Linked DNA regions of Elephas maximus indicus. The protein of the gene in region 3 purifies or fractionates together with the protein of the main gene of each other region. This does not show direct contact. Links are inferred from orthologs where the notes say so. Each region holds a gene or a part of one and is shown on either strand. Other genes may lie near its edges. The genes, in order: PFDN4, PFDN1, PFDN2 and POLR3B.

Evidence for each region.
Region 1: the proteins of PFDN2 (region 3) and PFDN4 purify together in Homo sapiens (affinity purification with mass spectrometry; 6 studies listed by BioGRID and IntAct, counting the BioPlex papers as one, with this or other methods). This does not show direct contact. The link is inferred for Elephas maximus indicus from reciprocal best matches to the Homo sapiens genes PFDN2 and PFDN4.
Region 2: the proteins of PFDN2 (region 3) and PFDN1 purify together in Homo sapiens (affinity purification with mass spectrometry; 5 studies listed by BioGRID and IntAct, counting the BioPlex papers as one, with this or other methods). This does not show direct contact. The link is inferred for Elephas maximus indicus from reciprocal best matches to the Homo sapiens genes PFDN2 and PFDN1.
Region 4: the proteins of PFDN2 (region 3) and POLR3B purify together in Homo sapiens (affinity purification with mass spectrometry; 3 studies listed by BioGRID and IntAct, with this or other methods). This does not show direct contact. The link is inferred for Elephas maximus indicus from reciprocal best matches to the Homo sapiens genes PFDN2 and POLR3B.

Annotation. Positions count from the first base shown.
Region 1 is NC_064843.1:15,426,242-15,433,853, reverse strand, and holds the start of PFDN4 (prefoldin subunit 4), read left to right. Parts: upstream 1-4,604; 5' UTR 4,605-4,801; coding exon 4,802-4,825; intron 4,826-7,612. UniProt on the Homo sapiens protein: Binds specifically to cytosolic chaperonin (c-CPN) and transfers target proteins to it. Binds to nascent polypeptide chain and promotes folding in an environment in which there are many competing pathways for nonnative proteins.
Region 2 is NC_064820.1:153,561,232-153,568,123, forward strand, and holds the start of PFDN1 (prefoldin subunit 1), read right to left. Parts: upstream 3,025-6,892; 5' UTR 2,993-3,024; coding exon 2,960-2,992; intron 1-2,959. UniProt on the Homo sapiens protein: Binds specifically to cytosolic chaperonin (c-CPN) and transfers target proteins to it. Binds to nascent polypeptide chain and promotes folding in an environment in which there are many competing pathways for nonnative proteins.
Region 3 is NC_064821.1:199,927,133-199,934,319, reverse strand, and holds the start of PFDN2 (prefoldin subunit 2), read left to right. Parts: upstream 1-4,180; 5' UTR 4,181-4,217; coding exon 4,218-4,292; intron 4,293-7,187. Other genes in the region: DEDD (death effector domain-containing protein), read left to right, coding at 1-120; NIT1 (deaminated glutathione amidase), read right to left, coding at 1,481-1,747, 2,026-2,151, 2,307-2,440, 2,665-2,768, 2,877-3,131, 3,399-3,497, 4,065-4,066. UniProt on the Homo sapiens protein: Binds specifically to cytosolic chaperonin (c-CPN) and transfers target proteins to it. Binds to nascent polypeptide chain and promotes folding in an environment in which there are many competing pathways for nonnative proteins.
Region 4 is NC_064822.1:173,470,841-173,477,685, forward strand, and holds the start of POLR3B (DNA-directed RNA polymerase III subunit RPC2), read left to right. Parts: upstream 1-3,830; 5' UTR 3,831-4,015; coding exon 4,016-4,087; intron 4,088-6,845. UniProt on the Homo sapiens protein: Catalytic core component of RNA polymerase III (Pol III), a DNA-dependent RNA polymerase which synthesizes small non-coding RNAs using the four ribonucleoside triphosphates as substrates.

The DNA.
Region 1 (7,612 bases), on a different chromosome or scaffold from region 3:
TCTGTCCTGTAGGGTCACTGTGAGTTGGAATTGACTCAATGGCAATGGGTTTATTTACAATAGCATCTGGTATGGCACAGCTTCAAACGAATCAAGCACACACAAACCCCCTCATCTAGCTGTATCGGAACAGAAGCCGGGGCGTTGCACGTTTGTAGGCCTGGAGGGGCCTGACAGGTAGACCACCACAGAGGCAGCTCCTCCAATTGTGTATCCATTCCATGAGTGGGGATCTGCGGGCTCTGGAGAGGGCCGCTTAGCTAAATGGGTCACCATTTAATCAGCAGCATCAACAGGTACCTTCAGGAGGAAGTGAAGCGTCGACAAGACTTGATCTTACAAGCTCAAGCAACACTAAAAAATGCCAATGTTTAAATGCTGGTTCAATTAAAAAAAAAAAAATTCTTTGTGGGTCGAATACAGTAGCAGGCAGCCAGTTTTCAACCTGATGCAAGCGAACGCCATCATTCACCCTCTGTCAGCATGGTATTTCCAAGTGGTCTTTGGGGTCATTAGTGATTTCCTTCCCTCACCTGCAGTCTCCGGATGCTCCCACGGACACCCTGGGCTTCTTCCTTTCTCTGCTGCAAACAGCTAAGGACTGTCCCCAGCCAACGAAAGAGCTGGAAATGAAAGTTGGAAATTCTCGATATTAAGGAACTGAAAGAATGCTAAGCAGAAAGCTTGAAAGTCCCAGATGTGTACTTGCAGAACTGGGTTTCCTGCTAGGAGAGAGATTAGCTGAAATGACACCCGGGGCTGGGGAGAGGAGGGGGTACGGACTGTGAAAAATGGAGGAGAACCTCTGAGCACCAATGAAACAAGGGTCTCCAAGGTGAGCCAATTTACAGCCAAGGCTGTCAGGGAGCAGTCCATCTGTCCAGATTCAGTGACACTCCCCTCGTCCCTGAGCCTCTGTCCAGCCCCATTTGACCCAGCCCTTGTTGACAATCCTCGTCTGATAACCCAGAACTCCCACGTGGAAGACACTGTTGGCTGCTGGCCCAACAGCTGTTACCTCCTTCTTCCTTTTCCTTGTTTTCAGAAACCCAATTGTGTTTGTTGTTGCTAGTTGCCAGGGTCAGCTCCAACTCATGGCAACCCCAAGTACAACAGAACAAAACCTTGCCCAGTCCTGCACCACCTTCACAATTGTTGGCAGGCTAGACTTGATTGTTGTGGCCACTGTGTATTTTGAGTGCCTTTTTTTTCCAATCTAAATTTTTTTGTTTTTTTTTTTTCCAATCTAGGGAGCTCACCTTCCAGCACTTATCAGAAAATACTCGGTTGTGACCCATAGGGTTTTCATTGGCTGATTTTCAGATATAGTTTGCCAGGCCTTTCTTCTTAGCCTGTCTTAGTCTGGAAGCTCTGTTGAAACCTGTGCAGTATGGGTGATCCTGCTGGAATTTGAAATACCAGTGGCGTAGCTTCCAGCATCATAGCAACACACAAGCCAAGCCACCAAAGTATGACACACTGACAGACAGGTGGTGGCAATTGTATTTAGGCAGCCATATTTTCAGCCATAACAATCATGATTGTTTAAGGTAATCACTAATCCATTGCTTTTGCCAGTGACTGAGCTAGAGGTTGGCATATGGCTCAGTTCTGGCCCAAAAGACAGACATAAGGGCAAGGGTGCTGGAGCATTCTGGGAAAGGTTTCCCTCCTTGAAAAAGAGAGAACATGAGAGAGAGAGAGAGAACACATGAGGGGGAGCGTAAACGGTGACGTGGGCTCTGTCCCCTTTTCCCTGTCTTCATATGTACTTGTATGAGGACCTGGAGAAGCAACAGCCATCTTGTGAAGGGAAAGCCAAAGACTCACAGAATATCCAGTCTAGAGCCAGAACTTCCTGGAACTGCTGAGCCTGCCCAGCCATCACCTACCTCCACCCATAACCCATTGCTGTCGAGTCGATTCCGACTCATAGTGACCCTATATGACAGAGTAGAACTGCCCCATGGAGTTTCCAAGAAGCGCCTGGTGGATTCAAACTGCCGACCTTTTGGTTAGCAGCCATAGCACTTAAACACTATGCCACCAGGGTTTACCTACCTCCATGTCACTTGTTAGAGGAAAAAAAATGACCCCCTATTATACCAGCCACTCTCAGTTAGGCCTTCTGTCCTCAGAGCCAAACATGTCCTGGTGTAGCATTTAGGCTCCATGAATAGATAACAAGAGACTCAGATGTTGAGAAGGCATGATAACAAGCTTGCCCCTGATGAGGAAGCTACTCAGCGGCACATCTATTAGCATGCGGACCATCCTAATTGTGAGTACCTGAACAGAATCTATTTCAGTCACCCCAGAGGTATCCTCCAGGCACCACCATCTGAGTTTCCAAGCCTACTTTATGGGTCTCTGATTCACACAACTGTCATTTGTCACTTTAGATCCTCTTGGTTTCACCTTTCCTTGGCCTCACCTGCTTCTGGCCACTTGTTACACCCAGCAGTTACTGCAGTGGCCACCCCAATGCCCCCTCTGTCTGGGGTGTCCTTTTCCTTTGGTTACCCCATGGCTGGCTCCTTCCTATTCGTAGCTCAGTGGCCACCTCTACAGGGCCAGTCTCTACTGCTCTTTTGATTTTCTCTGTCTCAGCCCCTCGTTTGTTTCCTTCATGCACTTGGTGCCATTTGTGGTGATTTTGTGCTTTTGTCCTGTCTCCCCCTCCATTGCCTGCTTCTACAGTGTTTCCATATAGCTGTTCTTTGTGAGCTCTTGCATGAATGGGTGTCACTGATGGAGCATCTACTAGGTGCTGGGCCCTGTGCAAAGACTTAACCTGAAGAAACTCCTTCCTTCAACAAATATGTGCTGAGCAAGTGTGAGCTATGTGCTGGGAAGACTTGCCTACAAAGGGCCTGGCGCCCAGAGCGGGGAATCTGATGGAAGAACAGGCAAAGTCACTGTGGGGCTAAGTGCTTTGGTAGGGAAAGCAGAGGCACTATAAGGTCCCCTTGCCCCCATTTAACCAAACAGGAAATTGGAACTTGGAGAGAGGAGAAGACTTGTCTAGAGCAGCAGTTCTCAGTGTGGCCCAAGGACCCCTGGGGATCCCTGAGATCTTTCCAGTGAAACCACAGGGGCTTCCTTTTTCCAACTATACATCTGGGTGAAGCCAGATTTCCTTCATATACAGTAAAACCTGTGAAAGCTGGAAATTGTGTAAGGAAGAAACCTGCTGGAGAAGGAAAACCCCAAACCAAAATGAGGTAGGAGTCTTGATAGACAGAGCTAGTAAGCACCTTGTCAAAGGTGGGAAAACTTGCAAAACTTGGAAAAACAAGGCACTCCCATCGAGTTCCGGCTTTCACAGGTTTCACTGTATTTCAACTAAATAGCATATCGCAACAGATTGACTGCAGAAGCAGATACGAGAATACAACCTTCTACCGAGCCAGACATTAGAAGGATTTGTAGAAGTGCAAAACAATGCCATTCTTCTCAATATTTGTTTTTGTTTTGGAAAACAGTTATTTTTCATTCAAATGTTGCTTACATTAATATGGAATGAACTTATTGTTTTTAATTAAATCATATATATATTTTTATGTTTTAATTTCTTGTATGGTTTTGTTTTGCTGTCGAGTTGGCTCCGACTCATTGCGACCCCATGTACAACAGAACGAAACACTGCCTACTCCTGCCCCATCCTCAATCGTACCTATGCTTGAGGCCATCTTTGCAACCACTGTGCCAATCCATCTCCTTGAGGGTCTTCCCCTCTTGCTCTGAACCTCTACTTTACCAAGCATGATGCCCTTTTCCGGGGACTGGTCCCTCCTGATAACATCTCCAAAGTGCGTGAGATGAAGTGTTACCATCCTCCCTTCTAAGGAGCACGCTGGCTGTACTTCTTCTGAGACAAATTTGTTCGTTCTTCTGGCTGTCCATGGTATATTGAATATTCTTCTCCAACACCATAACTCAAAGGCACTAATTCTTCTTGTGTCTTCCTTACTCACTGTCCAGCTTTTACATGCATATGAGGCAATTGAAAATACCATGGATGAGTCAGCGCACCTTAATCCTCAAAGTGACATCTTTGCTTTTTAACACTTTAAAGAGGTCTCGTGTGGTAAATATCGATAAATATAATCTACATAAACAGAAGCTCTTTGAGGTCCTCCGTGACTTTTTAAAAGTGCAAAGGAGTCCCGGTATTAAAAAAGGGACAAAGAGAATCACGATCTAGAGTTGCTGAGTTAGCAACTGGCAGGCTCAAGCTGTACACAGTAAAAAAAAATTACAGTAGTTGTCCAATAATATTGTGGAATAGATTAATTAATTGGGGTACTTCTTCCTTCACACCTTCTGAATTATCAGTGCACGTAAATATCACATCCTATTGTCAAAGCCCTTTGTTCTTAGCTCTTTATCAAAATGCTAGTTTGTTGGATAGATGGAATAGAAGTTCCCTTTCCTCCTCTCCAGGCCCCGCCCACGGAGTCGCCCCTCCTCCCGGCCCCGCCCCTCTGCGCTTTTTTGCGTTGGGCGCCCCCTACCGCCGGCTGCTGGATTATGTGGCTGCTTGCCACACCCCCCTGTTTCCGTGGGCCCACAGGGGGTTGCCTGTCCCTTTAATTGGGATGTACCAAGTGCTTTCAGCTTTCATCTTCCTTCCTGAGTTCGAGTCGTTAGTTATCGTTGGTTGAAGGTTTCGAGAAGGGAATGTGGAGATCGTGTTGTATTTTTCAGGCGATCAGGGCCAACAGGAAGTGAGAGAGGGCACGGGGGAGAATCGCGCCGTTGCGGCCCTCCCCACCTCGCGCCGTAGTCGAGTCCCAAGATGGCGGCCACCATGAAGAAGGCGGTGAGTGGGGCCTTCGGGGTGTCGGGTGCTCCGGCAGCCGGCGGGGGGCGGCCGCGGGGGTCGGAGCAGCGGGATGCTGGGGATGCGCAGCTCTGAGCCCCGGCGTGGGGCCTGGGTTCGAGGTCTCAGCCCTGAGGATGGCCCCGCGGCGAGGCTTGCCGGCGCCCGGCGGCCCCGGGCGTCTTCTTAGGCCGCCGCCCGACAGAGGCGACGTGCCCGGGTTGGGACCCTCGGCAGGCTCAGGCCGCCTCTCGCGGTGCTGAGTCCCCTGGGAGGTCTGAGGACCCCGCGGCCCTTGGGGTGTGGGAAGCCGAAGCTCTCAGTGACCGCATTTGGCCATCACACTAAGCGGTTTCCCTGGATCTACTACTGGGTAGGTGCTAGTAGTACCCTCGCCCACAGGTAAGGAAACTGAGCTTCCGAGAGGTGGAGGAACCTACCCAAGGTAACAGAGCAGGTGAGGGGCAGAGCCAGACCTGCGCCTCCGGATTATCTGGCCTCACGTCGGTGCGCCCAGCCCTGAGGTGCTCACGTCCATACTCCATGCCCCTGAGCCCGCAAGGCTAAAACCGGTATTGAAGCCAGAGGCTGTGTCAGGACCCAGCAGTCTTCCGTTATCCCTTATCCTCCCCTTTTCCCCCTTACAGGTGGAGAAACTTAGACACAGAGAGGTTAGTGTCCCCAAAGTGACTGAGCTCATAAATAGTATATCTGGGGTTCAAACCCAGGTTTGGTTTGTTTTTTCCCAAAGCCACCTTTTTTCCTGCTAAGCAAGTTGCTTCCTATTTGGGGTTTACGAATCCCGTTACAACTGAGTGGATTCCAACTCATAGCGACCCTATAGGACAGAGTAGAACTGCCCCATAGGGTTTCCAAGGAGCGGCTGGTGAATTCGAACTGCCGACCTTTTGGCTAGCAGCTGAGTTCTTAGCCACTGCACCACCAGGGTTCCAGTTTGGGATTTACAATCCAGTAAATCTACCCCGATGCTTAAAGATCTCCAGGTAAAAGAAAAATTAAATGAGGGTGGTGGTGGTGGCGGAGCAAGGACATAATGCCAGTCGATAGTTATTGCGGCTTTCCTGTGTGCTACTACAGGTTTATAGGGATGTGATATTTTTATCCCCATTTTACAGATGAGGAAACAAGCATAGAGGCAAAGCTAGAATTTAAACAGGACTTCTGCCTTCAGAGCCTTGTTTTTAACTCCCATGCCATGAGAATCCCCTGGCTGAAGGTGCTTGCTTTCCAAGGTTTTTGTATGTCTGTTCTCATTCCACTTCTGAGGCCACCTCAGAAGCATTTGCTTCCTTTGCTCTCCTACTTTTCAGTATTGCATAGTTTAAGCCACCTCTCCCTGGTCTCCAGAGACCATCCTGGTTTGCTCAGGGTTGAGGGGTTTCCTGAGACCCTGGACTTTCAGTGGTAAAACCAGTAAAGTCCTGGGGAAAACTGGAATGAGCTGGTCACCCTACTGGTCTGTCATTCACAAATGCTTATTGAGGACTGGAAGAGGGTTCAGGGCCGTGGTGATTCAAACAGGTCTGAAATTTTGGGAGATTCACTTCACCTTCAGTTTGCTAATTTGGTCCATCTGTTAGGTATGACCTTTAATACCCTGAAAGATATTAGTTATGTTAGCCCCCATCTTACAGATGAGGACACTGATGTGTAGAGAAATGGAGGAAATGGTAGAAAAATTATTCGAACCCTGGACTTTGCAAAATTTTTCCATCGGGTACTCCATTATGGGTTCGGTTAAATCAGCGGTTGCCAACCTTTTATCCTTTCATTCAGCAGAGATTTTCGAGCAGGCAATATGGCATAGTCTCTGTGTTAGGTGAATAGGAGTAAAGTCGTTGTCCTCAGAGCATCACAGAACATGTGCTCTAGGGGGAAAGGCAGCCTGTTTCTCAAATTATCACACCAAAAAATATAAAATTTCCACCTTTGGTAAGAACTGTGAAGAAAAGGCACTTGTGAAATGAGGACTGGAGTAAGGTTTGGTCTGAGTTCAGGGAAGGCCCTCCTGAGAAGGTGTCATTTCAGCAGAGATCTGTTAGATTACACACCGAGAGGAAGGGAAAGTTCCGAGGGGGCGAGGCATTCCAGAGAGGGAGTGTCTCCTGCAAAGAGCCTGAGTGCATTTAACAAAAGGAAAGCCAGAATGGCAGAGGATAGAGGGCCGGGGGAGACCCAGGATGGGAAAAGAGCGTGTGCGGAAACAGAAAGTGGCGGCCACACAGAAAGTTTTCTTCTTTGCTTTAGGAGCCATCGAGAGTCGCGTGGTAGATGCTACATGCTGCTCTGGATGTTTTCGATGTTAGGAGTAATCACTGCTAGGTGAAACCCGGGTGGCATAGTGGTTAAGAGATATGGTTGCTAACCAAAAGGCCGGCAGTTTAAATCTACCAGGTGCTCCTTAGAAACTCTATGCAGGCAGTTCTGTGTCCTGCAGGGTCTCTGTGAGTCGGAATTGACTGGAGGCAGTGGGTTTGGTTTGGTTTTGGTTTTAGGTTAGCTACACAGACAGACACTTTTTCCCTCTGCCCACTATAGGAGAAACCTTATCGGCATGTCATAATGATTGCCGTTTGTGATAAAATTGTTTGTATCTTCTTGTTATTGTCTTGTGCTATCAAGTCAGTTCTGACTCACAGTGACCCTATAGGACAGAGTAGAACTGCCCCATAGGGTTTCCAAGGAGCAGCTGGTGGATTTGAACCGCCAACCCTTTTGGTTAGCAGCCGAGCTCTTAACCACTTCAAGTACTTCCCATTTGTAACA
Region 2 (6,892 bases), on a different chromosome or scaffold from region 3:
CAATGTATTGAAACAAGCAGAAGAAATGCACATTAAACAGTAACTGTAACAAGTCGCAAGCACCCAGAGTAATAAATGCAAGTTAGAAGAGAAAACCCAAAGATTAAAAACAAGAACAAGAAATGTAACAACTCACTACATTTGTATCATACTTCTAAGTTTCAAAGCATTCTCCCACATTAATTTGAATATTAATATGAGAATATCTATTAAATATCTCACTCCTCTCAATAACCCTATGAATTAAGAACAGCAGTCTCAACTTCCACAATTTACAAAGTGACTAAAATCATTAGGAGATTTGTGCACAGGGTTGCACAACTATTAGGTGAAAGGCAGGTACTTAAATCCATTTCTTTTGACCCCTATTTCAGGCATCTTCCATTTTACTGTCTTCAGTATTATTCAGAATATGGATATTTTTTAAGAGAAACACCAAAAAAGATAGAAAATGCAAAGCACTGGTAGAAGAATTGTGTCATGCTCTTCATACACACATGCCAAGCCAAACTCTACCCTGTGTATGCTTACTTAACTTGAACATAAACACAGGTCTTGGATACTCTTATTGAAGTGCCTGGAATGACTTCCACATGCTGTCAAACTTAAGCCTTACTAATAACATTTGTGACTACAGTACATGGCAAAGACTACTACTTAACTTTTATTCTGACTTTGTTCTCACCTACTAGTAAGGTATCAAAAGATTTGTTTGGGGGGAGGGAAGGCACCTAAAATTTCCCATTAGTCTCCATCCAAAAAAAGATCTTGAAAAAACATTAGAAGATGAAACCTTTGAACAAGTTTGCCGGGTTTTTTTTTTCTTTAATTGGTTGTCAGAACTATCCAATTTAAGTATCATTCTCATTTACATCTTTGTCTACATGTTTCTTAGCAACAAATTAATATTACAGGGTAAGTCCATTTAGTTTTTTTTGTAGTAAATTCAAATAATACTGTAAAGTCCATTCACACTTAAACTCCCTTGTTAGATCTTTCAGTAAACTACTAAATTTGAACTTTTAACAGAAAAAAAAGGTATAATTTTGGAATGCAGTCTGATAGTGTTCTGAAATGTAAAATTCCAGGTATTACCTGATTGTTCTCAACACAGTTTGTTAAGGAAGCTCGTATATTGTTAAAGCTATTACAGCACTAGAGAACACTACATAAGGGCTAAATTTACGGGTTTTAAGACAAAAAATGGCAAAAAAAGACACAAACACACAAAATCCTCACAGAAATAACAAACAGCTTCATTTATTAGGAGCAACAGCTATTTCAGCTGTCCTATTTCTTATGCACAAGCCCTGGTAGCACAGTGGTTAAGAGCTGGGCTGTCAACAAAAAGGCTGGCAGTTCAAATCCACTAGCTGCTCCTTGGAAACCCTATTGAGCAGTTCCACTCTGTCCTATATGGTTGCTATGAGTTGGAATCAACTCAACAGCAACGGGTTTGGTTCTGGGGTTTGATTTCTTATGCAAAGGCTGACCAGAAGGCAGTCTCAAGAAGTAATATGATGGACTTCTCAAGAACCTAAATTAATGGTCAAAAAAGTGTGGGGTAAGATAAAGAATACCGGATTCTAGTGCCAATCTTTGACTATAACTTTTCTGGAACTCAGTTTCCTTTTCTAGAGAAGTATACATTTAAGCTAGATGATTTCCAAGGTCCTTTCCAACCTCCCTCCGAAAAAATGGTATGGTTTTGGATGGTTAGGGTTAGGAGCCCCAGTGGCATGGTTAAGGCTCGGCTCCTAACTGCAAGGTTGCTGGTTCCAACCCACTGGCTCTTACGTGGAAGAAAGATGTGGTGACCTGCTCCTGTAAAGATTACGGCCTTGGAAACCCTATGGGGCAGTTCTACTCTGTCCTATAGAGTCACTGAGTCAGACTCGACTAGGCACCAATGTGTTCAGCGGTGTTAGAAACCTGGCAACTCTTAGATAACAAAATCTGAGTAACACATTTTTAAGCAATTATTTTAACAAAGAAACCCAATTCCTTCTGATATCTCTTTCATTGGTAAAACTTTACTGGACTTAATTACTTTTTTTGTCAAATCTTTCCCAAAAAGGAGCCCTGGTAACTCAGTGGTTATGAGCTCAGCTGCTAACCAAAAGGTCTGCAGTTCGAATTCACCCGCTGCTCCTTGGAAGCCCTACAGGTCAGTCCTACTCTGTCCTATAAGGTCGCTATGAGTCGAAACTGACTTAACAGCAACAAGTTTTTTTGGTTTTTCCGAAAAAGAAAAGGGGGTCAAAGTCCTGATATGAACATTCCTATGAAAATACCTGACTTTCTGAGCTGCAGAGACTGCAACCTTTCGAGGTACGGAATCAAATAAAAAAATTAAAAAACTGTCGCCGTCGAGTCGAGACAGACTCATAGCGACCCTACAGGACAGTAGAGCTGCCCCAATATGGTTTCCAAGGAGCGGCTGGTGGATTCGAACTGATGACCTTTTGGTTAGTAGCTCAGCTCTTAACCACTACACCGCAGGGCTCCATGGAATCGAATAAATGGCCTAAAAAGACAAGTTGGACTGGAGTTTTTCAAATCAAATGAAGCGGCAGAATTGCAGTTCAAGCAAGCCGCCCGAAGGAGCTCCAATCTGAAACGCTCTCTTCGAGTTTTACTATAGAACTGAGTCCCTGAAGGTTCCTAGCGCAACAAAACGGCTCTGGAGCTCAGAACGAGGGACAAGCCAGCGATCGGTCCGCAGACTTAAAGAGACCCACCCAACCGGCTCCTATCCAGCAAGAGCCACTCGCCCCCTCCCCCCCTTACCCAAGCCTAAGGAGACCCGGTCCCGCCTTAGGATTCTGGGAAACCACTTCCCAGTCCCCTGGAGCCTCTTTTTTTTTTTCTGTGGAACTCGGGCCTCAGTCGATACTCTTGTCTACAGGCCCCTCAGTTTCGAAAGAGAAACCTCTACCCGCTCAAAACCCTCTTTTACCTTCTTCAACTCCAGATCCACGGGGGCCGCCATCTTGGCTGACTTTGTGCGCCTGCGTATTGGGAGAAGGCCGGAAAGGAGACGGGGGAAGGGCGCGCCCTGAAGAAACTGCCTGTTCGCCTTCCTTCTACGCCTGCGCGTGAGTGAGGCGGTCTCTGAGCGGTTGGTCTGGCCTCAGAGTCTGTCTTCCCCACATGGCTTATCAGGCTTGAGTTGCTCTTCTCCATCCTTCAGACACGGCCCAACGCACAGACTACGTGTATGGGCTTAAAAAAATTGACAAATAGCTTAGTTTGTACTGCTAAATTGAGATGTATGTATATCAGACCAAACCTTCAGTTTTTCAGTCCTCCAGCAGGTCCCTGTGCTGACAGGGATGAGTAAGAATGGGTCCCTCGCCTCAGGCATGCTACTTTCATGCTGCTGAGTGCTCTCTGAAGACCTAGACAAAGTGGTTCTCGAGAGAAATCCAGTAAGTTTATTGAAAAAATACATGTTTCCTGGGCCTCATCCGGAACTTGTTAGTTGCCATGGAGTCTGCTTTGACTCATGGCGACATTATGCGTAACAGAAGGAAGCGTTGCCTGGTCCTGTGCTATGCCATATTTATGATCGTCGGTATGTTTGAGTCCGTTGTTGCAGCCATTGTGTAGTGCCATTTCACCTAGGGGGCTTATTTTCCACTATATCGGACAATATTCTGTTGTGATCCCTAAGGTTTTCATTGGCTAATTTTCGGAAGTAAATTTCCAGGCTTCTCTTCTTCATCTGTCTTAATCTAGAAGCTCAACTTAGACCTGTCCACTATGAGTGACCCTGCTGGTACTTGAAATACTAGTGGCATAATTTCCAGCATCATAGCAACATGTGAACCACCACAGAACTACAAAATGGCAGTCTGGTGGTGGCATCCCAAACGTACTTAAAATCTTTGACAGTGGGGCCTGAAAATAAGCATTTTGCAAACTCTCTGATGACCTAATGCAAGGCATTAGTGGGCCACATTTTGAGAATTTCTGCTCTAAAAGGACCTGACATTTGAACTAGAGGAATGAATAGTATTTGGACTTTTTGAAATGGAGGAAATAGATGTTTTATCTACCCTAAAAACTGAGGGAGAGGGAAGATCAGGGAATTTGGAACGAGCAAAATTCTGGATCTGGATTCAGGGCTTGGCCTACATTGAGCTTAGGTCTATTTGGTTCCATTTACTAACTGTGTGTCTCAGCAATTCATTTATCCTTGATGAGCTTCAATCTCCTCATATTTCACTTAGGAATAACAATATCGATCTAACAGGGTTATTGTGCAGAAAATGGGATCAGGATGAAAGTTCCAAGGACAGCACCGTGCACACAGTAGATAATAGATAGTTGCTGTAGTTAATATTATCCTGTTTGCCCTTCAAGGTCCAGCAAACATGCCACCTCTTCCGTTATGTCTTTTTTGATCCTTACATAACCTATCACACACACCAAAGATAATCCCTCCTCTAAATTCCCTCAAGACTATATCTGTTTCTCTCTCAGGGCACTGTGGTGCAATGAATCACTTTCACATGGCTCTTCTAGCCATGGTCTTGTACTCCCACAAAATGATTGGCTGGAACTATGCAAATGGAGTGACTATGGTCTACCAAGGGGATTGGTCAGTTTGTGGTCCTGGTGGGAGGGCCATGACTGGAAATTGACAAGGGGTTTCCTTACATAAGGGCCAATCACATAGAGGTTCAGGGGACCTCACTACCATCAGGAAGAAGAGTCTTGAGCAGAGCACGTCCTTTGGACCAAGGACCTTTGGGTCCCTTCCATGAGAACCTCCTCAACCAAAAAGAAAGCAAACACTGAAGACAGCATGAGATGGCAAGAGACAGTGGCTGTGAGCATGTCAGCCCACTGAGCAAGGTGGCTGTGGTGGGGTTGCAGGCCCACAGAGTGAGAGCTGAGCACCTTCGAGCAGAAGACTTACAGGCAGAGCTAAAATAGCTGTAACACTTGCCTGTGCAGGGCGGATGTCTGAGTGTGTCCCATGCAGGGGTTGCCTTGGATGACCCTGTGCAATATTCCTACTGCAGGGCGAAGCCGGGAGCCTTTGGCCAGGAGGCTTGCCACAAAACCCAGTACCATCGAGTCGATTCCAGCAGAGCTAAAAGAGCTGGTAACGCTTGCTCCTGCAGGGAAGAGAGGCCTGAGTGTGCCTCTGCAGTGGTTGCACACCTCCCTCCCTGGGCAGCAGGGGCCCAGGTAATGTGGAGGCAAGAGAGCCCTGCAAGCCTGGGTAGTGTGGCAGGAGCCAGCAGTAAAGGCCAGCAAGGCCCAGTGGCAGCAGAGGCCTCAGGAGCCATACAGGACCCCACAAGCATCATGGTGGTAGCCAGAGGCAGCAGTGACATGAAAACAGCATCTGACATCTGACCTGAACTATGGCAGTCCTGCCCTGCAACATAAGATGGACATGGATAATTTGGGGAAGGGTAAGCGATTCTCCTTTGGTGAATCCGTTGTTACTATTTACTGTTTGCTTTCTATAAATAATAATGGCTTTCACTTTCCCAACATTGTATAAGTGCCTCATATGTCCAGCTCGAAACAGATGAATGTAACACCCATAGAATTGGTGATGTCAGTGGGTGTACATGCCTCATTCCTAGCAGTCTGTGGCTGCCTGAAAGTTTGAGGCACAGACCGTCTGTATGTGTAAGGCAGATAGACAGACACGTAATTCATACAGGCGTGTAACAGTTTCTACCTTATTTTTTGAAACATTTTTTATTTGTTCTTACACCCCTTACCCCAGAACACCTATCATAGTGCCTCACAGGAAAGAAATACATAAGAAATCTTGGATATAAATGAATTCTTCAGAAGAAGAAAACTGTCATCACTCTCTAACTTTACAGAAAAACAGGCCTAATTCATAATTTTAGATCCTCTACTGCCTTCTTAGAACTTCATTATAAAAATTATAGATGATCAATAATAGTGACAATATTGAAATTTGAAGGTTTCGGATACTTTGCTGTGCATTTCATCATGTGATTTTGAAACGCTCCTCATGAAAAAAAAAAAAGTATGTAACATGAAAGTACGGGCTAAGGTCAGACAGTTTAGGTTCAAGTACTGACTCCTTAATATCAATGTGCCCCCAAAGACTGGACAGGCCCATAAAACAAAACATGGCTAAAGGGGAACACCAGCCCAGAGGCAGGGACTGGAGGGCTAGAGAGTATAGCAAAGCTGATAACAGGGAACTCAAGGTCCAGAGGGGAGAGTGTTGACATGTCGTGGGGTTGTTAACCAGTGTCATAAAACACTATGTATACTATTTAATGAGATGCTGGTTTGTTCTGTGAACATTCGTCTAAACTACAATTTTAAAAAAAAAAAAAGATCAATGTGCCCTTAGGCAAGAGTCTTCTCTCAATCTTTTGTTCATTGTTTCTTTTTGCATCCCACTCCTTCCTCCTTGGTTTAACTTCCTTCTTGATGAAATAAATCCTTCAGTAGGTTCTCTTATTAAGTCTTTGAGGAATAAACTTTCTTTTTTTACATTAATATATGATTTATTTTATTTTTGTTGTTGCTGAGCATATACATACCAGAACATACACTAATTCAACAGTTTCTACATATACAACTCAGTGACATTGATAACATTCTTCGAGTTGTGCAACCATTCTCACCCTCTTTTTCTGAGTTATTCCTCCCCATTAATATAAATTCACTGCTGTCTAAGTTTCCTTTGTAATCTTTCAAGTTGCTGCTGTGAGTTTCATACCATATAGATAGATCATAAAAGAGCACAATGCTCAAGTCATTCTTTACTAGTTAAGCAAAACTATCGTTTGGTTTTAAGAAGACTTCAGGGAATATTTTTGGTTTAAGGTTTAGGATTACCTCAGGGCAATCATTTCAGGGGTTCATCCAGCCTTTA
Region 3 (7,187 bases):
TCTCTCAAGCAGGCTGTGGGCCATGAAGCCATCAAGCTGCTGGTGAATGTGGACGAGGAGGACTATGAGCTGGGCCGACAGAAACTCCTGAGGAACTTGATGCTGCAAGCATTGCCCTGACCTTTCCCCCTTCTCACCTCTCTGGGGACTGTTCCCACCACCCACCTCTGGAGCTTACATACTGTTCTGGGGTTTGCTGTCTACCCTTCCAATCACATCCCCTGCCCCCCCCCTTTTTTTTTCAAAGGAAAAGACAAAGGAAAGTGGAAGTGGTATACCCCACCCCTCCCTGTACCCATGTGCCTGGGCTTCCCCTTTGTTTCCCTTTTCCACTTACCCCAGTATGTGTCTCTACAGCCACCTTACCACTGAGCCGTAAGACAAACGTGTAGGGAGAAGCAAAGTCTATAGAACATAGTCTTTGTGAGGGATTGAAGTGAACACTGCTTGTGGGTGCGTTGAGGGGTTATCAATCCTTCTGGCTTTATGAGGGCTCTTAAATTTTGTCTGAAAAATGAAAGGGCTGTGAGAAAGGGAGCTATGTGGAAGGTGGGACTCTGAAGTGTATTTTGGAAATTAATCACCACCCTCTCCCAAATTATAGAATTTTTAAAAAACAAGCTGTGGCCCTTTCCACTCTCTCCTGGCCTCTGGTGCTGCTCCTCTCTGCCTCCTTTCCTCTCTTCCACGGCTTAAAGCCTCTGCCTGGTGTGGCTCCTTCCTTTTTCTCCCTTGCCAAACCCTCTTCAAGGGAGTAATAGGTGAGAGGACTGGATCAGCCTAGTCACTCCTCCCAACTGTGATGTTGTGTATACACATCCACAGGGTGGATGGAGAAGAGTCTGCTGATGAAAATACACTCCCCCTGAAAAGGGGAAGGGGGAGTGTGACATTTTCCTTCCATGTTCAAGTGAAAATAAATAATGTACCCTGCAGCCCTTTTCCCCTTTGCTTTCTTTTGACTTGGGCAAAGGGCATCATATGTGGAAGTGAAGTAATTCAGTATCAATTCCCTCCTTTTTCCTTCCCCATTCTCCACCCCCTCTGCCAAGCCCGGGAGAACAGGGCTGGGACATGCACTGAATGTTGCACTTTCCTTTAGGTCGGGAGGCATGCTGAATAAGCCAGGAGGCCAACAACTAGGGCCCAGTCCAGCTGGTACAACACGACCGCCCCTTCCAACTCCCAAAGGAGATGTCCAAACACAAACTTAATGATTACATTTTTTTTTTCAATGCCAGTGATGCTCAGCTCTCAGCATAACTTCAGTTTTCACGAAATAAACAGTGACTATAAAATCCACCTTTCTGAAACTGAAATCTGAGCCCAGGTGAAAGTTTCTTTCCCAAAAAGCTGAGCACGTGTTCCATCAAAAAGAGTCAAAGTTGTCCAAGTGAGGGCTGCTGTGCCCGGGTCCTGCCTACAAGTCACAGCAGTATCAGCTCACAATGGGGGTCTCAACTCACAGAAGTTAAAATGCTTAATACAATGGTTGACCCAGACTGCCATAGAGGTCAGGCCTGCGGTGCTGGAACACAGGCAGGTGTTGGCGCAACTGTCGTAGATAGTTGAGATCGACTCGGGCAAGGCAGAGGCCTGGTCCTTCAGAGCAGCGGGCCACCACTGTTCCCCAGGGATCCACCACCATGCTGTGGCCGTAACTTGCTCTCTTCTCATGATGGTGGCCACATTGTGCTGCTGCCACTACATAGCACTGGGTTTCAATGGCCCGGGCCCTCAGCAACACCTGGGGGCGAGGAGATGCGTGTTCACTTAACTACACATAGCAGCTAATGGGAAAGTAATAGGTGGAGATTACAGGCCAAGTGCATAATCTACCCTTCGTGACTGTTCTGTCAATTGCCTAGGAAAAGTCAACTATCCTGTAACATATGAGAGCTAGACAACAGTTTGGAGAATGAAATTCGCACTAGGTGGAAAGGGGAAGAAAATCTATTAGTAGGGTCCAGGGAGGAGAACGAGGCTAAGAGACAGCCCTTAGGTTTCAAAGAGGCATCCTCTTACCTCCCAGTGGGCTGGGCCTGTAACAAATCCAAAGGCTGAAGGGTAGGTAAGTATTTCTGCACCAGCTTGAGCCAAGGCCAGAGAGAGTTCAGGGAACCGCATGTCATAGCAGATAGCTAGACCAATCTGGAATGAAAAGTCTATTTAGCCTCCCTGTCCTGTTTCCGACAGCATCTAGTCATACCTCTGCTGTTCCACTCCTTAGGGCTTTCCACCCTTTACCACCACTTTGAAAGTTCTCCTATCCCCCCTCCTCCTTGTTCCTCTCTCACAACTCCCACCTTGCCTGCTGGTGTGCTGACAGGTGGCTCGAGACTGGGCCCAGGTATGGTAGAGTTGCTTTCATGCATGGGTGCCTGCCCTGGGATATCTACATCACACAGATGCGTCTTCCTATAAGTGGCCACTACTGATCCTACAGTAAGAAGGAGAAGAATTGCCAGTGCTGGTGCACTAGAAGCCCAGTTTAGCTCCTCCGCCCATCTCCAAACAGAAGATGGTTTATTGGCTAGGAAGAGAAGTACAAACACCCCTAAAACCCTGGGGCAAGGAATTAAAAGTTGAGAAAACAATTCTGGGGATCTAAGTTTAGGTAGAAGAGCCTGGGAAGAGGCAGGCTAAAGGGTTGTGAAGTCTCACCCTTGCTGTTCAGAAGCACATGACAATTGTAGATTTTCTGAGTCTGCTCCCAGTCTTGGCCACGCTCATGGAAACCACCCAAGGACAGCCAGAGTCCACATTCCCTGGGGGGAGGGGACACAGACAACTCTTCTCAAGGCTCTAGCCGCCTACTGGCAATCCAAGGATACTGCACAACAAAGGCTACCTCTCCCTCCCCTTTTCCCTGATACCTGGCAAGCTCCGTATATTCTCCCAAAAGTTTCCCACCCAGTGGCTCAGAGAGGTGTAGTGTCTCCGCAGGGTCCCGTGCAATGAAGTCAAATGCCTCAGGCAGGAAAGCCAGGCAAGCGCCCAGTCTGGCAGCCTCTCGAACCAGCTCAGCACATGTTTTAAAGTTCTGCTCCTTGTCTGGTGTCGATGTTACCTGGCACACAGCCACCAGGGGCAGTTCCCAGGAGGAAGAGGAGATGGCCATGGCTCTGGGCCTGTGAATGGCACAGACAGAATTCTCAGACATCCCAGCATGGGGAAATTCAAGTTTAATGATAAGGGGTTTAAATGGGGAGACAGGAAGGCTGGACTTCCCTTTGATTCTGCTCTTAACAGGGCACACTGACCAAAGCCTAGTGGGTTCACCAATCAAATGTTCTGTGGATGGTTGGCACCCCTGTGTCTCCCCACCATCCATTCATTTAACATTCACTGAGTATCTACTATGTGCCAGGCACTGAGGACACAACAAAACACATTACCTGTGCTGAGCACAAAGTACTGAGAGTCGAGGTATTCGGAGTCCAGGACACAGAAGGAGGGGCAGGAGCTGGTGACAAGGCCTGATGATGAAGCCCAGCCTGAGGAAGATGAAAAATCAGCACACCGATCCCTCCTTGAAGCCATACGTTTCTGGGATTCTCTAACTTCTCCCTTCACACTGTGAGGCTGAATCAGAACCCTGCCAGTAAAAACTCCCAAGTCTTCAAAACACTCTAAGCAATCATAGGCTACAGGAAGAGGTCACAAAGTAGGAAAGTAGAGGAAGGGGCTCTGCTGGGCGCCGGAATACTTGGACTTACAGCGATCTCACATTACACAGAAGCCCTTTTCCTCTGTCAAACGTTTCCGCAGTTCAAAAGTCACCTACAGGAAACTTCCTTGATTTTCCCAGGCCTTTCTTCTCGACTGTGCGTCTGCACAGCTTTATTGACTAAACGCATATTTCCCCCTCACACCGAGAATCTCCGAAGGGAAGTTCACCCTCCCTCGATCCCGGCCACGAGTACCCAGATCCCAACCCGTGCCCCCACCCTCCAGTCAACCCATCCTTCTCCGCCTCTCCCAGGGGCCGCGCCTCTGTTGCACAAGTTAAAGCACCGCAGGTGGAATTCACCGCGGCCGGCGGGACGGGAAGCAGGTCCTACATCAGGATACAGCCGAAACCATCAGCAAGGTCCGGGGCGAAGAGCGGCCTGGAGCCAAAGGCGCCGGAGGCGAGTGGGCGGTAACTCCAAGACCGGACGTGACGCACGGCGGGGGCTGAGCCGCGCAGGCCGGAAACCCAGCAGGCGGCGAAGATGGCGGAGAACAGCGGTCGCGCCGGCAAGAGCAGCGGTAGCGGCGTCGGGAAGGGGGCGGTGTCGGCCGAACAGGTGAGAAGCGGAGAACGCCAAGGAGAACAACCCCGGCTGGGTCCGTAGTTGATGCGAGGAGAGGGGGGCCTGTGGCTCGCATAGGCCTTTACCCGAGTTGCACATTTGCATGGCCACCTAGAGAGGGGAGGGTCCTTGGAAACGCCAGCCGAGCCCCCCGGGAGAGAGTGGGCCGGTGGGTAGGTGAGAGCCACGCCCCGCTGGGGTGATGGGTGAACCTGGGAGAGTGGAAAGCCCTGGGGTGCAGAGCCTGGGAGGTTGCACAAGTCTGAGGGAAGATGGGTCGTCACTTTCCCCACCTTCCCTCTGCACCCCCGAGGCAGGATATGGCCGGGCAAGGCTGCTCATAAGGAATCCTAGGGCCTTAGACAACGGGCTGGTTGTGTAGTATGTTGTTACGTGACCCTGGAACCACGTGGACAATCGCCGCCACTCTGCAGAGCCACGTGACTCACATACTCGAACAGCCTAGTGTTCTATACTAGATTCGGGTGTCATTACTAGATTGAATTTCTTAAGAGACCAAAAGCCTTTTTCTGATCCAAGTTTGCGTTTCTCCCAGTGCTTAGCGTCAGAGACATTTGATAAATTAATCAGAAAGAACCTTTGTGGCTTGGAAACCATGGTTTGCTAATAGTGGGAAAAAAAAATAGTGTTTGATCGGAATGGTAAGAAACCTACACAATAGAAATGAAAACATATTTAAACAGGATCAGTAATCAAGTGGCATAAGGTTGCATTTGAACTTAGCTGTTTTAATTACAAGTTCATTCAATTATTTGTTGAACAGTTACTACAGGCAAAGGTACCTTGCATAAAAAATTTTAAAACCGTCCGGTGCTATCAAAGAGCTGATAGCCTGGTGGGGAAAATAAAACACAGAAAATACTCATATGAAGCAGAAGACAAGTGTCCCAAGAGAGATGTAAAGTGCTATGGAATTTTGGGGAGGAGGGAAGAGAGAGTTTCTTACTTAGGGGCAGGGCTTTGAACCGGTTCTTCCTGGGTCAGTCTTGGCCAAGGAAGCAACACGAAACAGACCCAGATTTTTAAAATTTTGGTGAACCGGAATGATACCCTGAAGGGAAAAAAATAGGTCGAAACCCTGCTAGAAACCTAATCTCCGTCTTAGAAAACAAGGGCAGCATACGAAGTTGCACAGCAACCAAATCTCTTGCCGGTGGGATTTTGAGCGGAGTCAGAAACATTGGTGCCCCTCTCAAAGATGGCAGGAAACTGTGTGCGTTGCTCTCCGCAGTCCTGCCAGTAATCCAGTTTCATGCCTCAGGCTCCTGAGAGGGGTCATTATGCCTTTTTTGAGTCTCCCATTCCAGGGCTTTGACCATTTTTCCTATTCCTAGTTAACATTCCGGAGCACCCAAATTGTAAAAATTGGAGTCTGTTCGGGTTGTGCTTCATTGGCCATGACTGAATCAGTTGGAACTACTTCAGGGCCCTGCTTAGGGGAAAAGCGGGAGGGACGGAAGTAACCTAGTACTTCTTAAGGGTCTGCCATGTACCAGGCACTCTCCTGGGTACAGGGAAACATACAAATGAAATTGTCTTTGTCTTCAAGTAGCTCACATGCTTACAAACCAAAGATTTTCAGTGTGCCTCACAGCCCCTCCTTTATGGTTGCTCAAGGAGTGACCCCTTAACTTAGCAAGAGGTTATGGAATTTTGGGAGCAGGTGGGCAAGGGAACCTGTGGTGTAGAGGGGATGGCTAAGAGCATAAGAACAGTGCACTGAGATCAGACAGCCCGGGGTATGAATCTCATTTCTTCTGCTTACTCTCTATATATGATCTACAATGAGTTCCCTCAGCTTTTCCCATCTGTAAAAACATACTAAATAGAACTGACTTCATCACCGTATGTTGATAATTAGGCAAAACAACATAAAGTGTTTTCTAGAGGAGATTCTTCTTCAGCTCAGTTCTAAAAGATAAATTAGTTAAGCAAAGAAGGAAGTAGAAGATTTTCTAGATAGAGGAAATAATGTATTAAAAAGCACTAAAGTATGGAGTTGCCCAGCAATTTTGGGGAGCAGGTGGACTCAAAGTTTGAGATGGATTGCAAGATTGAGAGTGGAGTAAAAGAGGAATTGCTCTGGTTTTTGTCTTTGGTGGATAATGGTTCTTTGGGGAATGTAGGAGAGTGAACAAGTTTGTGGGGAAAAATGAGTTTAATTTAGGATTTTGAATTTCAGTTTCTCATGGGATATCCCAGTAGAGACATTTAGTAGGTGGTTTGATCTATAAATCTTGATTAATAAATCCTGAGTTACAGAAGGAAATTTGAGTTGGAGATACAAATTAGAGAGTTATGAGCTTATGGATAGTAGATAAAGCCCTGGTTGTGGATGAAGTCATCTGGGGTATAAGAATGGCGTGGAGGCAGCATCTGGCCCCCTCTAACTTCACAAGGGGGAAGAATCATTATTATCAGTGTCAACAACCCAAGGCTGATTGCATGTCTCCACCCTCCAGCCTTTTTACCAACTCTGATACCATCTGTCACTCCCATGGCAGTCTACATCTTTGTTGGGTTTGATAATTTGCTGCAGTGGCCACCCAAAACTCACAGACCATACCCACAGTTATGGAGTTTATTAGGAATAAATAACAGGTTACAATTCACAATCAATCAGGAAAGTCTCAGGGTACAGTTTTTTGATCATATTAGCCTCTTGTCAGCTGTTCTAGCAGGCAGGCCTTTCTCAGGACCTCGGCCCCTCTGCTCGGCCTCTGCCCTGCCTGAACAAGTGTTAAAAAGCTTTTTAGCTCTGACAGTAAGTGCCTGGAGGCACGCCACTCTGAGGAATCCTCCTGCCCAAAGGTGCAAAGCTTTTTCACTCTGTGGGCCAGGAAGCCCACCACGCTGCTGTTTCCTTGC
Region 4 (6,845 bases), on a different chromosome or scaffold from region 3:
ACTTTGAGGACTAAAGCGCACCTGACCCAAGCCGTGATATTTTCAATTGCCTCATATGCATGAGAAAGCTGGACAGTGAATAAGGAAGACTGAAGAATTGATGGTTTCGAATTATTGTGTTGGCAGAGAATGTTGAATATACCATAGACTACAAGAAGAATGAGCAAATCTGTCTTGGGAGAAGTACAGCCAGAATGTTTTTTGGAAGCAAGGATAGCAAGACTTTTTCTCACATACTTTGAACATGTTATCAGGAAGGGCCAGTCCCTAGAGAAGGACATCGTAATTGGTAGAGTGCCAGTGAAAAAGAGGAAAACCCTCAACGAGATGGACTGACATAGTGGTTGCAACAATGGGCTCAAGCATAACAACGATTGTGAGGATGGCACAGGGCTGGGCAGTATTTTGTTCTATTGTACATGGGGTCACTATGAGTTGGAACTGACTCAATGACACCTAACAACAACAACAAATCTTTATGGAAGCAGACTGCCACAGCTTTCTCCTATGGATCAAACCACCCACCTTTTAGTTACCAGCTGAGCTCTTAACCACTGTGCCAGCAGGGTCCTTGAGAGGGAGGACAGGGAAGGTTTAAGGCAAGTCTAGGTGAAGTGGAGAATGGACTAGAGAGACTATGTGACTGTACAGCAGCATTAGGGGTCTACATGATGTTAACCATTAACCAGTTGCCATAGAGTTGATTCTGCCTCATGGGGACCCTCTGTGTGTCGTAGTAGAACTGTGCTCCATAGGGTTTTCATTGGCTGATTTTTCCGAAACGGATTGCCAGGCTTTTCTTCCAAAGCACCTCAGGGTGGACTCGAACCTCCAACCTTTTGGTTAGTAGTCAAACTGATTGTACCAGCCAGGGACTCCTACATGAAATTAGTTGGCATGAATTTAAAGTGAAACCAGTTCAACATGGTTGCATTGCTCCCTCCTCATTCACTTGCATAGGTGCAGACGTGGAGCAGGCACAGGGTTGGCTTTAGTCAGGGCTGAGGTCTTGCTAAGCACGCAAGTGTGGTGTGGAAATGACAGAAGGCAACGTGTAGAGTGATGACTGAGCACTGATGACCGGCACCTCAGCAGATGCCATCATTATAGATGACGTGAAAGAAAATAGACCTGCCCTTCCTCATGCCCTCATCCTATGAAAACCCGCTGGAACTTAGATGGGACCCCAAATTAGAGGAGATCGTGTTTCTGCCTACTCAGGGGGAGGAGGGCTGAAAGTAGAAATTAGGGTCAGCTGTAGAAAAATAAAGTTGTACCTCTGTTTGGCACACTGGGGTTTGAGCTTCGAGATTATCCGCTATATGTATACTACCAGACGTCACGTTACATTAAATTTATTTTTGTCTTCCCACATGTTTGTGGATAAATGACTGGTTGAAATGCCCTTAAGATTTATTCAGGCAGAACCGGTTTTGTACAAATAACGTGTGTTTCAAGAAGAAAAAAATGCACATTATTAGACTATATATTTAGTTTTGATCAAAATTACATACTTCAGTATGAGTTACCTGGATTTTTTTAGCCAGGTATATTTTTTATATCCTCTAATTTTTTTTTCCTGATTAAAAAAATATATATAAAATGTTGACAATATACAAAAATGCAAAAAAGAAAATAATAAATAGAATCAGCCCTGAAGCTGCCAGTGATAGATAACCTGTATTAATATTTTGATGTGTTTACTCCCAATATTTTTTTTCTGTTCCTATCAAAGTGCCTTGAACTTAGTAGAAATCAATAAATACGTGTTGAACATCCATATTATAAAATTACTAACTTGAGTTCATCATGTACATCTATAATTTTTACTGTATTTTTCACTTGCCATTCTATTGATAATTTTTCCATGTATTAAAATTTTTTGCATCTTTTTTTTTAAACGGCAGTGGTTGCTGATTTCCCCCCACAAAAAGGAAAATAGCTTTATTTCAATGATAAAAATTACACATTTTCTGTAAAACATTTAAACAATACTGGAAACGGTAAAGAATAGCAAATCACACCAACCAGGGATAACCAGTTACAATCATTCCCTTTAACCCTCTGCACTGACGAATGCATGTAATGTACATAGGTGGGACATTATTCATGTAACATGTTTTTTCTCCATTCTCACTTATCAACAGGTGTGGCCATCTATGTCAAAAACAGAGATTTCTGCAATTACTTCAATGGATGTTTATCATTGCAGTGTATCAATGCATCATCATATCAGCTACTCAGCTGACATCTAGGTTGTTTCTTGTATTCTGCTTTTATAAAAAATGCTTCAGTTGGACGATCTTGTACATACATGTTTGTACAGATTTTCAGTAATCTCCTTAGAATAAATACCTGTAAGTGGAATTGCTGGGTCAAAGGAAAAAATACATATATACCTCTAGAAAGATTGTAGCATTACAGTAACAACATACTCTCCCTCCAGCAATGTAAGAGAGAGCCTGTTAGTCTACTTTCTGGATAACACTTGATAATGTAAATCTTATCTGTACCAATTTGGTGGATGAAAAATGATTTATTTTGTTTCCATTTGCATTATGAGGTTGAATATATTTTCATATTAGCCATTTGCTTGTTAGTATCTTTTGCCTAGTTTTTCCCCTGTGATTTTTTTCCCCCTATTGATTTGTATGAGCCAAGTGTAAATTAAAGGACACAGCAGTTAAGCACTTGGCTGCTATCCAAAAGGTTGGCAATTTGAACCCATCCAACAGCTCTGGCTTCGCAGGAGAAAGACCTAGTGATTTGCCTCTGTAAAGTACAACTGAGAAAACTTTAAGGAGCAGTTCTACTTTGTCACGTGGTGTCGCTATGAGTGGAAATTGATTCCACAGCACCTAACACCGACAACATTGTAAATTAGGAATACCAATTTTTGTCTTCTGCCAACTTGTTTTTAAAAATCTGTATTCATGATGATTTTTTAAACATTTGTACAGACAATTTTAAATTTTTCATGAAATTAAAAAATCATGTTTAGAATGATCTCTTATGCTAAACTCTACCATGATTTTCGTTCATGATTTCTGATTGTGTTGCCACCTTGTCAGCACCTGTTCACCACCTCAATGGTATGAATATATTCACCTGTATTTTCTTCTAAAGTTTTGCTAACATTTAAATACTTAATCCAGTAGGATTTACTTAGACGTATTTTTTTTCCCTAAAGGATAATCATTTGTTCCAACATCATTTATTGAATAAGCCATTTTTTTCATACTGTATTTATTGCTGGGTCTTCTGTCTAGTCCTTTGAGAATACTTATCACTGTGGTGTTACTCTCTAGTGTGTTCATTCCTCCTCCCTTCAAGGTCATTTCGGTGGTTATATAATAAATTACATGCACGTGCCATACTTTAATCCCTTATGAGGCGTTTGGGAAGTTTCCTATTTTTTCATAAAATGTATACAGTTTCAGATTGAATTAAATACATTTTCTGCCTCGTTGGCCTAAGATGCGCAAATTATCCGTTCACAATTTTCCTGGAATTATTTTAAAAATTACAACCAACACGTCTTACTGGCTTCAATTATTTTAATTGGCTATGAGCTCTTTGGAAAACCTGGTAGCATACTGGTTAAGAGCTATTTCTGCTAACCAAAAGGTCCGCAGTTCGAATCCGCCAGGGGCTCCTTGGAAACCGTATGGGGCAGATCTACTCTGTCCTATAGGGTCGCTGTGAGTCGCAAAGGGTTTGGGCTGGTTTTGGTATGAATTCTTTGGCAGGGGGTTGGGATTACCCCGGCAAGACCTCCGAGCTACACCAGAGGGCGCAGTTCTCCGGCTCCGCCTCAGCCACATCCGGGTTTCCGCAGAGGTTCGGGCAGGCAGCAGACGGAACCTTTCCGTTGTGTGCCTGATAAACCTGCCCGGCGGGATGATTTAGGTCTCCGCGCACAGCTCTCCACGGATGCTGCAATTTGCTTGGGGCAGCGAAGCCGGGCGTGAGGGTTCTGTCTGCTGCTTCCTTCATCGTGAGCAGAGTGGGCAGGATGGACGTGCTAGCGGAGGAGTTTGGGAACCTGACCCCGGAGCAGCTAGCAGCTCCGATCCCGACGGTGGAGGTGAGCCCCGGGCACGCGGGGAGCGGAAGGGACCGGGACGCGTCCTCAGGGGGCGTTGCCCCGAGAGCTCTCGCCGCAGAGGGCCACCAGCGGCTACTGCGCATGCTCACGGGTCCGCGCGTCCGGGTTCTTTCGCGTCGCGGCCGCCGCGTGCACGTGGAAGGGCTGAGCCGGGACGAGTCGTCCGCCGCTGTGGGGCCTGGGAAGGCTCGCGGGGGCCCTGAGGTGGACCCCTTCCCGGGCACTGTTCGTGTGTCTGGGAGGATTGGCCTTTGCACCCACGCGGGGGGACGTATTACACCTCCCCAGCCTCATGGAGAAGGAGCCAGGGCCCCGAGGAGCTTAGGTTCCGAGCTCGTTGTAGCAGTAAAACCAAATCCTGTCAGTCTCGGGCTGGGGATCTTTCCTTTTAGCCAGGAGTTCAAATGTGGGCTACTGAGATATTTTAAACGCCCCGAAAATTAATCCAGATTTTTGCCTATGTGTGCGTTTGTTTTTCTGGGGAGAAGCTCCGTAACTTTGATCAGATTCTCAGAAGTTGAGGGTAACCGGCCTGCAGTGAGCTGCCTAGTGAAGTTCAGCTACTGAAATAGTTTTATTATCTGGAAAGGCGCGTATTATATCTGGTTGGTATGGAATGGGAAGGTGGAGAAATGAGGCTGGAGAAGATAGGGGAGAGATTTCAGGTAGAGAGAATACTTGAACCCTTGTAGGCAAGACCATCCGATGTTTATGAAGAAAAAGACAGGAGCAGAGATGCGCTGGTGGAGCAGTGGTTAAACGCTCGGCTGCTAACTGAAAGGTTGGCAGTTCGAACCCACTGGGAGAAAGATATAGCTGTCTGCCCTCCTTAAAGATTTCAGCCTTGGAAACCCCGTGGGGCAGTTCCGTTCTGTCTTATAGGGTTGCTATAAGTCGGAATTGACTGACAACTTTTTTTTTTTAAAGAAATGAAAGATGGGTAGGTAATGAGCGCCATTATGAAAGCCTTTGTTAAACATATGAAGGAGCTTGAACATTCTCCTGGGGGCAGTGAGATGCGATTGAAGAGTTTAAGTAGGAGAGTGAAATGAACAACTAATGTATTAGATTGTAAGAACCTCCTTGTAATCATTTGGCAACTCTGTGAAGTCAATCAAATTCAGTCTATGAATGCCCGCCTTACACTGCTGATCACCAGGCAATGCTGGATTTTAACTCTTGAAGAGTTAGTATTAATAGCATTTACTGAGCACTTACTATGTGCTAGGCATTGTTTAAGCATAACATGTATTATGCTGTTTAATCCTTGGAAATAAGTAGTTTTCACCCCGATCTTGCCAATGAGGTTTTGAGGCCCAGAAAAGTTAAGTAACTAGCCTAGTGTCAGAATCTGGTAGGTGATTGATCCAGAATTTGGACTCAGGAAGTCTGACTCCAGAGTCTTCCTCCTTAACTACTGACTGGATGACTTCACCAGATAGCTGAAGAAGGAGGCCTGTTGTTGTTAGGTGCTGTCGATCAGTTCTGACTCAGCGACCCTGTGTATAACAGAACGAAACACTGCCCAGCTCTGTACCGTCTTCGTGATCATCATTATGCTTGAGCCCATTGTTACAGTAACTGTGTCAGTCCATCTCATTGAGGGTCTTCCACTTTTTTGTTGACCCTCTATTCTACCAAGCACGGTGTCTTTCTCCAGAGTCTGGTCCATCCTGACAACATGTCCAAAGTATGTGAGGTGAAGTCTTGCCATCCTCGCTTCTAATGAGCATTCTGGCTGTACTTCTTCCAAGACAGATTTGTTCATTCTTTTGGCAGTCCATGGTATATTTGATATTCTTCCCCAACACCGCAATTGAAAGGCAGCGATTCTTTGATCTTTTTTATTCATTGTCCAGCTTCACATGCATGTGAGGTGATCGAAAACACTGTGGCTTGGGTCAGGCGCACCTTAGTCCTTAAAGTGGCATCTTTGCTTTTTAACACTTTCAACAGGTCTCTTGCAGTGTATTTGCCCGATGCAATGTGTCCTTTGATTACTTGACTGCTGCATCCATGGGCGTTGATTGTGGATCTAAGTAAAATGAAATCCTTAACTACTTCAGTATTTTCTGTTTATCATGATGTTGCTTATTGGTCCAATTGTGAGGGTTTTCATTTTCTTTATGTTGAGGTGTAATCCATGGTGAAGGCTATAGTCTGATCCTCATCAGTAAGTGCGTTAAGTCCTCTTCACTTTGAGCAAGCAAGGTTGTGTCATCTGCATAACACAGGTGGTTAATGAATCTTCCTCCAATCCTGATGCCGTCAATATCTTGGGTTATTTGCTCAGCATACAGATTGAATAAGTATGGTGAAAGGATACAACCCTGACACACAACTTTCCTGACTTTAAACCAATCGGTATCTCCTTGTTCTGTTTGAACGACTGCCTCTTCGTCTAAGTACGTGTTCATCATGAGCACAATTAAGTGTTCAGGAATTCCTATTCTTCGAAATGTTGTTCATAATTTGTTCTGATCCACACAGTTGAGTGCCTTTGCATACTCAGGAAAACATCTTTCTGGTATTCTCTGCTTTCAACCATGATCCATCTAACATAAGCAATGATACCCCTTGTTTCACATCCTCTTCTGAATCTGACCTGAATTTCTGGCAGTTCCCTGTTGGTGTACTGCTGCAACTGCTTTTGATGATCTTCAGCAAATTTTACCTGTGTGTGATATTAATGATATTGTTTGATAATTTCTGCATTCAGTTGGATTACCTTTCCTTG